Saccharomyces cerevisiae S288C: one gene and its partner. The protein of the gene in region 2 interacts with the protein of the main gene of each other region in a pairwise test. Each region holds a gene or a part of one and is shown on either strand. Other genes may lie near its edges.

Region 1 (5,402 bases), on a different chromosome or scaffold from region 2:
CTTAGAGACAAGTACCCGCATTTTATAGCATTGCCTTTCGTTGATCATTTTTTGAATTTTTTCGTGATACTCTGAATTTCCTTCTTTACAATTAATCAAGTTTTCAACCAATAACTTCAATAAATCATTCAGAGACGTGCTGAAGTCAATTTTAAAGTATGATAATGCTATTCTTATTCTTTGGTATTGTTCATCTAATAAAAAAAATCGTTCATAAATGACTTGTAGCATATCTTCTACACGCTGGCACACAATGGTCTTGCAATCATGCTTCCAAGCATCAGGATGCTGAATATTTTCGAGAAGGTCACCGCCGGAATTAACCTCCCTTACTCGTAAATAACTTGAGTAATCCTCATTAATTATCTGCTGCCTAATATCTTCGTCTCTCAAACCTAATCGAGGGTCTGGAGTTTCAAAGATCTCTTTCTTTGACGCTGACTGGCGTGCAAAACCAGGGTCGTACCTGAAAGTGGCCAGAACCTCGAAGTTCGGATTAGCAACTAGGCCTCCTTCATCGTAACTTTCCATATCAGTCTTCCAATTGTCCATTAGTGACATCTATTTCTTATTATCCATGTCTCGCTCTTCATCTTTCTTTTACTCACTTTCACAAAATTTTTTCCTGCCCTTTTTTTTCCAATAGCAGGTTCTGTTTATATTTCATCATAATCTATGAAGGCATCGTGACGTGATGATATAGGTGTGTCAAGTAAAATATTCTTACAAGTTGTGGTTATTTATATGCTCTATATATATTCACAGAACTAAATCCAGTTCTTCTATATATTCTTCATTGTTGTCTGGTGTAACGGGGTAAAAAGGTACCATGGCGTCCTGGTACATTACGTACATGTTATTATACACCCTCCAAAATGCTTTCCTTACATTCTTCGCTGGATGGAACAATCCTGCCCATATGTAGTTCATGAATAGTCCAGGGCCAAGAGCTTGACTCAGTGCCTCCAAACCTTCTAAAATACGCATAATAGCATGTGGTGAAGTTTCAAAAATATTGGGTATTAGAAGATTCATTAAATGAATGAAGGCATCTTCGTGACCTGTACCTGAACAGTTTAAAGCTAAGTGGGTTATTACGTTCGACGCTGTCTGACGATGAACTAAATCCCTATCGGTGAGTGCATCTTCTAATAATGGTGTTATGAAGTATATGTAATCCTTAGACATGTTACCAATGTACTCAAACATGAATGACATGGCCTTGAGAACACCGTTTTGAACATTAGTCTCTGGTGTTGTGTATTCATTCATGATTACTGGCAGCACGTTGTAAGGACCACACACTTTAGCAACGATACCGATAGCAACAGCCGTGCATACACGTAACTGACGTTCTTGAACCTTTAAATTGTTCAATAACGCAACAAGAACATCGTGAGGTCCAATTGCTTCAGCAATGAATCCAAACGTGGCATTTGCTGATCTTCTTATTTCTTTATTTGTACTTTTCAAAAGTTCTAATAGTTCAAAACATATTCTCATCCATTCTTTAGGAGGTGCATAGGTAGGTGCTAATTTACCAATAAGTCCAACAAATTTGATAGTGTTTACTTCGACTTTTCTATGCTTGTTTCTTAAAATTGGAGTTAAGGTTGGTAAAATTTGATTAATAGGAGGTTGTAGTTTATCCAAATCCATTACGCTAGTAATACAGTACATAGCGTTGATTATAGAACCTAATACCTCTGGATATACTTCGCCTAAGGATTCATACAATATAATGTTCAATTTATTCAACATTTCGAATTCGTGACAGTTCTTGATGACTGGTATTAGTATGGCACATAGATCTGCTGCATGTTGACGAACCAAGGGAGTTTTATGCTTTAAATGATTTAAAATCGTACTCACAATGGGTGCTAAAAACGGTTTCATACGGATGTCAAGTGACACCGTCACTGCCCCAAACCCTTTAAAGATTATAGAATCACTATTTGTTTGTTCTTGAAATGCTATCAAGAGCGCATCAATAAGCCTCGTTTCTAATCTCTCATCTAAATCTGCTGTCCCTAATAAGTTTACTGTTCTAGTAACAGCATGGACAGCCATTGTTCTGAACGGCTCAGCTTCATCTCTCAATGGTGTTAATAATTTATCAATGGTATAAGAACAACCTAATTTCTTTGCTAATGTAACAGTAGTATATGTAACAACTTTGTTTAATGGTCTATCCAATGCCACTCGTCTGACCCAAAATTTTTGAAAGAATTCTGGCGCGATTTCTTCTCTCAGAAATTTTGGCGTTATGGATTCTACAGCGCTACATTTTTGTAATACTAAAAGAATGGTCTTTTTCATTTCATCATCGGGAGAGTCGAATTCACGTCTAATTATTCTCATTGCTTCTGTGGTATAATAACCGGCATACTCTGGGTCCATCAATGGGATCATAGATCCAACAGCTTTTAAAAAAGAAGATAGCACTTTACCACGATGACTTCTTATACCCTTCCATAATGGCTCCAGTACAACGTTGAAAACTTCGATACCATATGGATAAGAATTTTCTGCTAGTGTTGATAAAGTATGTGCTGTAACAATTCGCACCGGAACGTGATCATCCATTAGGCAGTCTTTGATACAACTCATCAGCCCAGTAAGATGATTCAAGACACCTATTCCCAAAAGTATACCTATTTGCTGCACAATTTTTATGCCAGTATGCCTTGCTTTCCAAGACTTCCGTGAGTGGCATGCTGCATTGATGAAAGGAAGCAATTGATTAACACCAAGGGCTTTTGCCACCACAGCCGCCGCTCTTGAAGTTACATTTCTAACATACTCATCCTCATTCTCAATATCAGGTCTCATTACTGTTAGAATGGTTTTTAGGCCAGCGACTGTAGACAGATTGGTGATTATCTCCTGGCCTGTTGAACGAACCATTGGATCTTCATCTATTAGCAATGGGGCAGCTACTACAAGTATTTTGTGAACGTAAGGTTTTGTTAAATCTCCTAGCTGGTAAAGGACGCGATCTATGGTCTTGATCATTAGATGTCTTTCCTGGTCTTCCAAACTTCTGTCTAGTAATATGGGCAATAAGCGGTTAAATATCATTTCTGGACCAAATGTAACAGCTTTATCGGTTAAAATCCGCATAGAAGTCCTCCTACTCGCTGTATTGCCATTTTTTATTTTCAGAAGTAACATCGACAGGGTTCTTTCTTTCTTTTCATCCTTATTTAACTCATCTATGGGTTTTTTGGATATAACGTCGGCGAAATATTTATGGTCAGAAGGTTTAAAAAACATCAAATCATGGATTCCTTCTACATTAACCAAAGCACTATCAGAGTTTTCTTTGACCGCTGTTGAAGATTCATCAGGTGGCTCGTACCCTTTTACATCCCAACGAGATTTTCTTTTCCTTGGCACGACAGCGTCTTGGGTATTTTCTGAAGACGTAACAGTTTGTGTATCGGAATCCGGCTCAAACTTCATATCAAACCTTCTTTTGTGGTATGAATCCTCTCGATTTTGCACTGTCCTAGTTTCCATTTTTTCCTGTAGCACATCTTTTTCGTTCTCACCAATACGTGCAGCTTCTTTCTGCAGGTTTTCCCTCAAATCCTGAGGAATAGAATATTGACCGCCTAATTGGTGGCTCTTATCGCTATTATTAGCGTTTACAAATTGAATCGGATGACTCATGATGACAGGTCCTGGCTTTCTATGTTTATTATGTATAAGTAATTGAAGAGATGTTTCAGTTCTAACTCATCGAGAAGGAGATTTCTGCTCGGGCAAATATCAATGCAAACCCGAATAAGCTTAAATACTAACAACGTGCCAAATAACAGCAATCACGTCTAAAAAGCTTTCAAGAGACGATAATTGGTTGTGCATATCTGTCAGCGGAATAAATAAAGACAGGTGATGGTAGTTAGGCGGAAAGTACATGTTCTTCTAATTGCAAGGAGCTTTCATTCCTACACACCTTGCTTCAGAGTAACTACCAGAGGCAAACGACAGCGAAGTAAGAGTAAGCAGCAAGCAAAAGTAGAACTAGATCACACACGAGAGCTAGATAATGATCAAGCTACAGAGACAGTTGTAGACCGTTCGGTTGGACCGGAGAAAGATATAGAATCAATAAACAAAGACTTTCTGCAACGAACAAAAGGATTAGAGCCTGATATTGAATTAAAACAACTGCCTCAAATTAAACAGGAATTTAACCAACGTTATAAAGATAGGTATGTTAAACCTTCCGAAGATTGGTACGTAAACTCCTGGAGGTCTTTAACAAAACCAAAAATTCCGCTTTACAAGTTAATAAATTCAGATTTTCAATTAATAACAAAACTGAAAGCTCCAAACCCAATGGAATTTCAACCTGTTCAGCTAATGGAAAGTCCCTTAAATGTTGGTGACTTTGTTCTTTTAAAAATGAGACCCAATGAATTGGCGATGTGTGTAAGTCTTCCAAGTAGCACTATGGATCCTCGATACACTTTTGTTACTATTGATGGAACTATGTGCTTTGCGACCAAAAACCGGGTGTTATTGAGGATTCCTCACAAATTACCTGCTGGAATCCATTCACTTATACAGCCTGAGAGCCATCACAAACATTTGCCAATTGGAACCGTTAAGAACTTTTCTAACCAAACGAATATTTTGCCTATTGTAGCAAGGCAGCTAATAACAAGTAGGTATCCAGCCCAAATTTCAAAGTTGGCCTGGAAAGATTTGCCCATTACTACCAAAAAATTACAGTTACTCCACAGATCATTACAAAATTATATGGGTCCATGGCAGATTCCTTTTTTTACCCTAGTCGGATTAGTTCAGAAATTGGATTTAAATAAAGCCTTGGACGATAAAAATGGAATAAATTACTTAACTAGTTTAGTTAATAACTATCACACTGTAAACGATATACCAATAAATTCACCTACCTTTGTTTCCACGTACTGGGCGATTATGCAACAACAGGAATCGAACCTTTGGGGGGAAATCCATCTGAATACAGCGTTGCTGTCGCCTATATCAGTAACGATTATTCCCTTAAAATCACAACATTTATATTATGCGCAGGTGATAGAGAAGCTAGAAGCCAACAGTTATAGAGAGGTCAATAAGTTTGTAAAATTGGTGAATGAAAGGAAATATCGCGATATATCAGCTTTATATCCTTCTGTGATCCAATTATTGAAAGATTTTGCTGCTGGGAATTTTCACAATAACGGAATTATAGTAGCTTTGATCTCAAAAATATTCAGAAAGATAGAACGCTATAAGGATTGTGACATCACAAGAGATATATGTCAAGATTTAATCAATGAGATAACACCCAACTCAATACCCAATCCATTGTTACTTAACATGGATTTAGCATTACCTGCTTCCTCGAAGTTAGTGAAATGGCAACAAAA
Region 2 (2,848 bases):
ATTTTCTGCAGAAGGTTCATTCGTAGTATTCGCATCGGCCCCGGAGTCGGAAGGCTTGTTATTTTTAGATGCCTCCAATTTATTCTGAATATAACCTTCTTGATAGATGGTGACATCCTCTAATCTTGCAGTGGCTTCTTCTAGCCTTTTTAATAGCTTAACAAGGTTATAACCTTGCATTGTGTACTTAGAGTCAGGCATGATTCGATTTCACACGGTTGCAACTTGGCCTACTCAATTACGAAAAGTTTCAAGCTGAGTTTTCCCCTATACTACCAAAAGATTTCACTTCTAAATCCCTGTTTATGACTTCACGCGACATGTATAGATCATTTTAAACGATATGAATTGTATACTGTCCCAACATTTTATATCTTTATATAAACATCAAGGTTAATAATGTTCGACAGTTACTAGAATCAATGCCTAAAAGGTTACTGACTGAGTGTGATCTCTACCATAAATCTTGAGAACGACATACGAGGCGTAATTTTATGTAAAAATTATTTATGGATGTGGCTTCAACGTCCTACCTCTCTTCTCGTAAGTAGGCTTTATAGCCAGGGGACATGGATTTCAGGAGGTGAATACGAGTGTCACGTATACTAAGGTCTCCTCGGCTCAATGAAACGTACTCCAAAGATGCGGAGTGGCCTTGTAATGTATTTAGTGTATCGTTTCTCACATTTCTCTGCCACTGTTCTCGTGTAGTGCTCTCATCTCCCAGTCCGATGTACTTTTGTTTGTATATCTTCTGCAACTTCAACTGCCTCTGCTTTTCCGCCTGTTTTGAGTATTAGCATTACGTATAAGCCGCACGGACTTGCACGATTCATCGCAAGCGTAGTTAGTACCATGGTAAAGATGATTTCAATTCAAACTAAAGCGCAATAGAACGTAACATACCATTTCTTTTCTTAATTTCACTGTTTCGAATTGTGTAATATAACCATTTTAGCCACTATTTACATGTTCTGAATGAGAAGGCTTATGTTCTTCTCTTCTTCCCGGGTGACAACGCTAACTTCGGCGTAAGATTTTCCGCTATTTCTTCAATAGCGACATAACGTATGAGAGTTTATGCCCAGGGAACACGTTGATTTAGAAGCAAACACTGTTGCATAAATTATAGGGCTGTGATTTTATCGTCTTTATCTAAAGCATAATAGGGTGAAACGGTTTCAGTTGATACATATTCGCACCAGTATACATTTTCAGGACTTTATGGCAGAACAGACGCTACTTTCCAAATTGAACGCTCTTTCTCAAAAAGTGATACCACCAGCTTCCCCTAGTCAGGCAAGCATTTTAACGGAAGAGGTGATACGAAACTGGCCTGAACGATCAAAAACTCTCTGCTCCGATTTCACTGCACTGGAGTCAAATGATGAAAAGGAAGACTGGTTGAGGACTTTGTTTATTGAACTGTTTGATTTCATAAATAAAAACGATGAAAATTCTCCCCTCAAGCTTTCTGATGTTGCATCATTTACTAATGAATTAGTGAATCATGAAAGGCAAGTGTCCCAGGCTTCCATAGTTGGTAAAATGTTTATCGCCGTCTCAAGCACTGTTCCAAATATAAATGATCTAACAACCATATCATTATGTAAACTAATACCGTCGTTGCATGAAGAATTGTTCAAATTTAGTTGGATATCCTCTAAGCTGCTCAACAAGGAACAAACCACCTTATTAAGGCATTTGTTAAAAAAGTCAAAATACGAACTGAAGAAATATAACCTTTTGGTAGAAAATTCAGTGGGTTATGGTCAATTGGTAGCCTTATTAATATTGGCGTATTATGATCCCGACAATTTTTCCAAAGTGTCCGCATATTTGAAAGAAATCTATCATATTATGGGGAAATATTCCTTGGATTCTATTCGTACTTTAGATGTTATTTTGAACGTTTCTAGTCAGTTTATCACTGAAGGGTACAAGTTCTTTATTGCTCTTTTACGAAAGTCGGATTCTTGGCCATCTAGCCATGTAGCTAACAATTCCAATTATTCTTCTCTTAATGAAGGCGGTAATATGATTGCAGCAAACATTATTTCATTCAATTTATCGCAATATAACGAAGAAGTCGATAAGGAAAACTATGAACGGTATATGGATATGTGTTGCATTTTACTGAAAAATGGGTTTGTCAATTTTTATTCTATTTGGGATAACGTTAAACCAGAGATGGAATTTCTACAAGAATATATTCAAAACTTAGAAACTGAACTGGAAGAGGAGTCCACTAAAGGCGTAGAAAATCCCTTGGCTATGGCAGCTGCTTTGTCCACTGAAAATGAAACTGACGAAGACAACGCCCTTGTTGTAAATGATGATGTTAATATGAAGGATAAAATCTCTGAGGAAACAAACGCTGATATAGAATCAAAAGGCAAGCAGAAAACTCAGCAAGATATTTTATTATTTGGTAAAATAAAACTCTTGGAACGCTTACTCATACATGGTTGCGTTATTCCCGTGATACATGTGTTAAAGCAATATCCGAAAGTGTTATATGTTAGTGAATCCTTATCTAGATATTTGGGAAGAGTATTTGAATATCTTTTAAATCCATTGTACACATCAATGACCTCATCTGGTGAATCAAAAGATATGGCAACTGCTTTGATGATAACCCGTATAGATAATGGTATTCTAGCCCATAAGCCAAGGTTGATCCATAAATATAAAACTCACGAGCCATTTGAATCCCTTGAATTGAATTCAAGCTACGTCTTCTATTACAGCGAGTGGAATTCCAATTTGACTCCTTTTGCTTCTGTAAATGATCTATTTGAAAACTCGCATATCTATTTATCTATCATAGGACCGTATTTGGGGAGAA

What was found.
Region 1: the proteins of YSF3 (region 2) and HSH155 interact in binary tests that used the Saccharomyces cerevisiae proteins (3 or more experiments, as listed by UniProt).

The regions. Positions count from the first base shown.
Region 1 is NC_001145.3:843,844-849,245, reverse strand, and holds HSH155 (U2 snRNP complex subunit HSH155), read right to left. Parts: upstream 3,676-5,402; coding exon 760-3,675; downstream 1-759. Other genes in the region: aminodeoxychorismate lyase ABZ2, read right to left, coding at 1-561; DSS1 (exoribonuclease II), read left to right, coding at 3,901-5,402. UniProt on the Saccharomyces cerevisiae protein: Contacts pre-mRNA on both sides of the branch site early in spliceosome assembly.
Region 2 is NC_001146.8:364,094-366,941, reverse strand, and holds YSF3 (U2 snRNP complex subunit YSF3), read right to left. Parts: upstream 910-2,848; coding exon 907-909; intron 785-906; coding exon 530-784; downstream 1-529. Other genes in the region: SRV2 (adenylate cyclase-binding protein), read right to left, coding at 1-201; THO2 (Tho2p), read left to right, coding at 1,225-2,848. UniProt on the Saccharomyces cerevisiae protein: Involved in pre-mRNA splicing. Required for the SF3b integrity and prespliceosome assembly.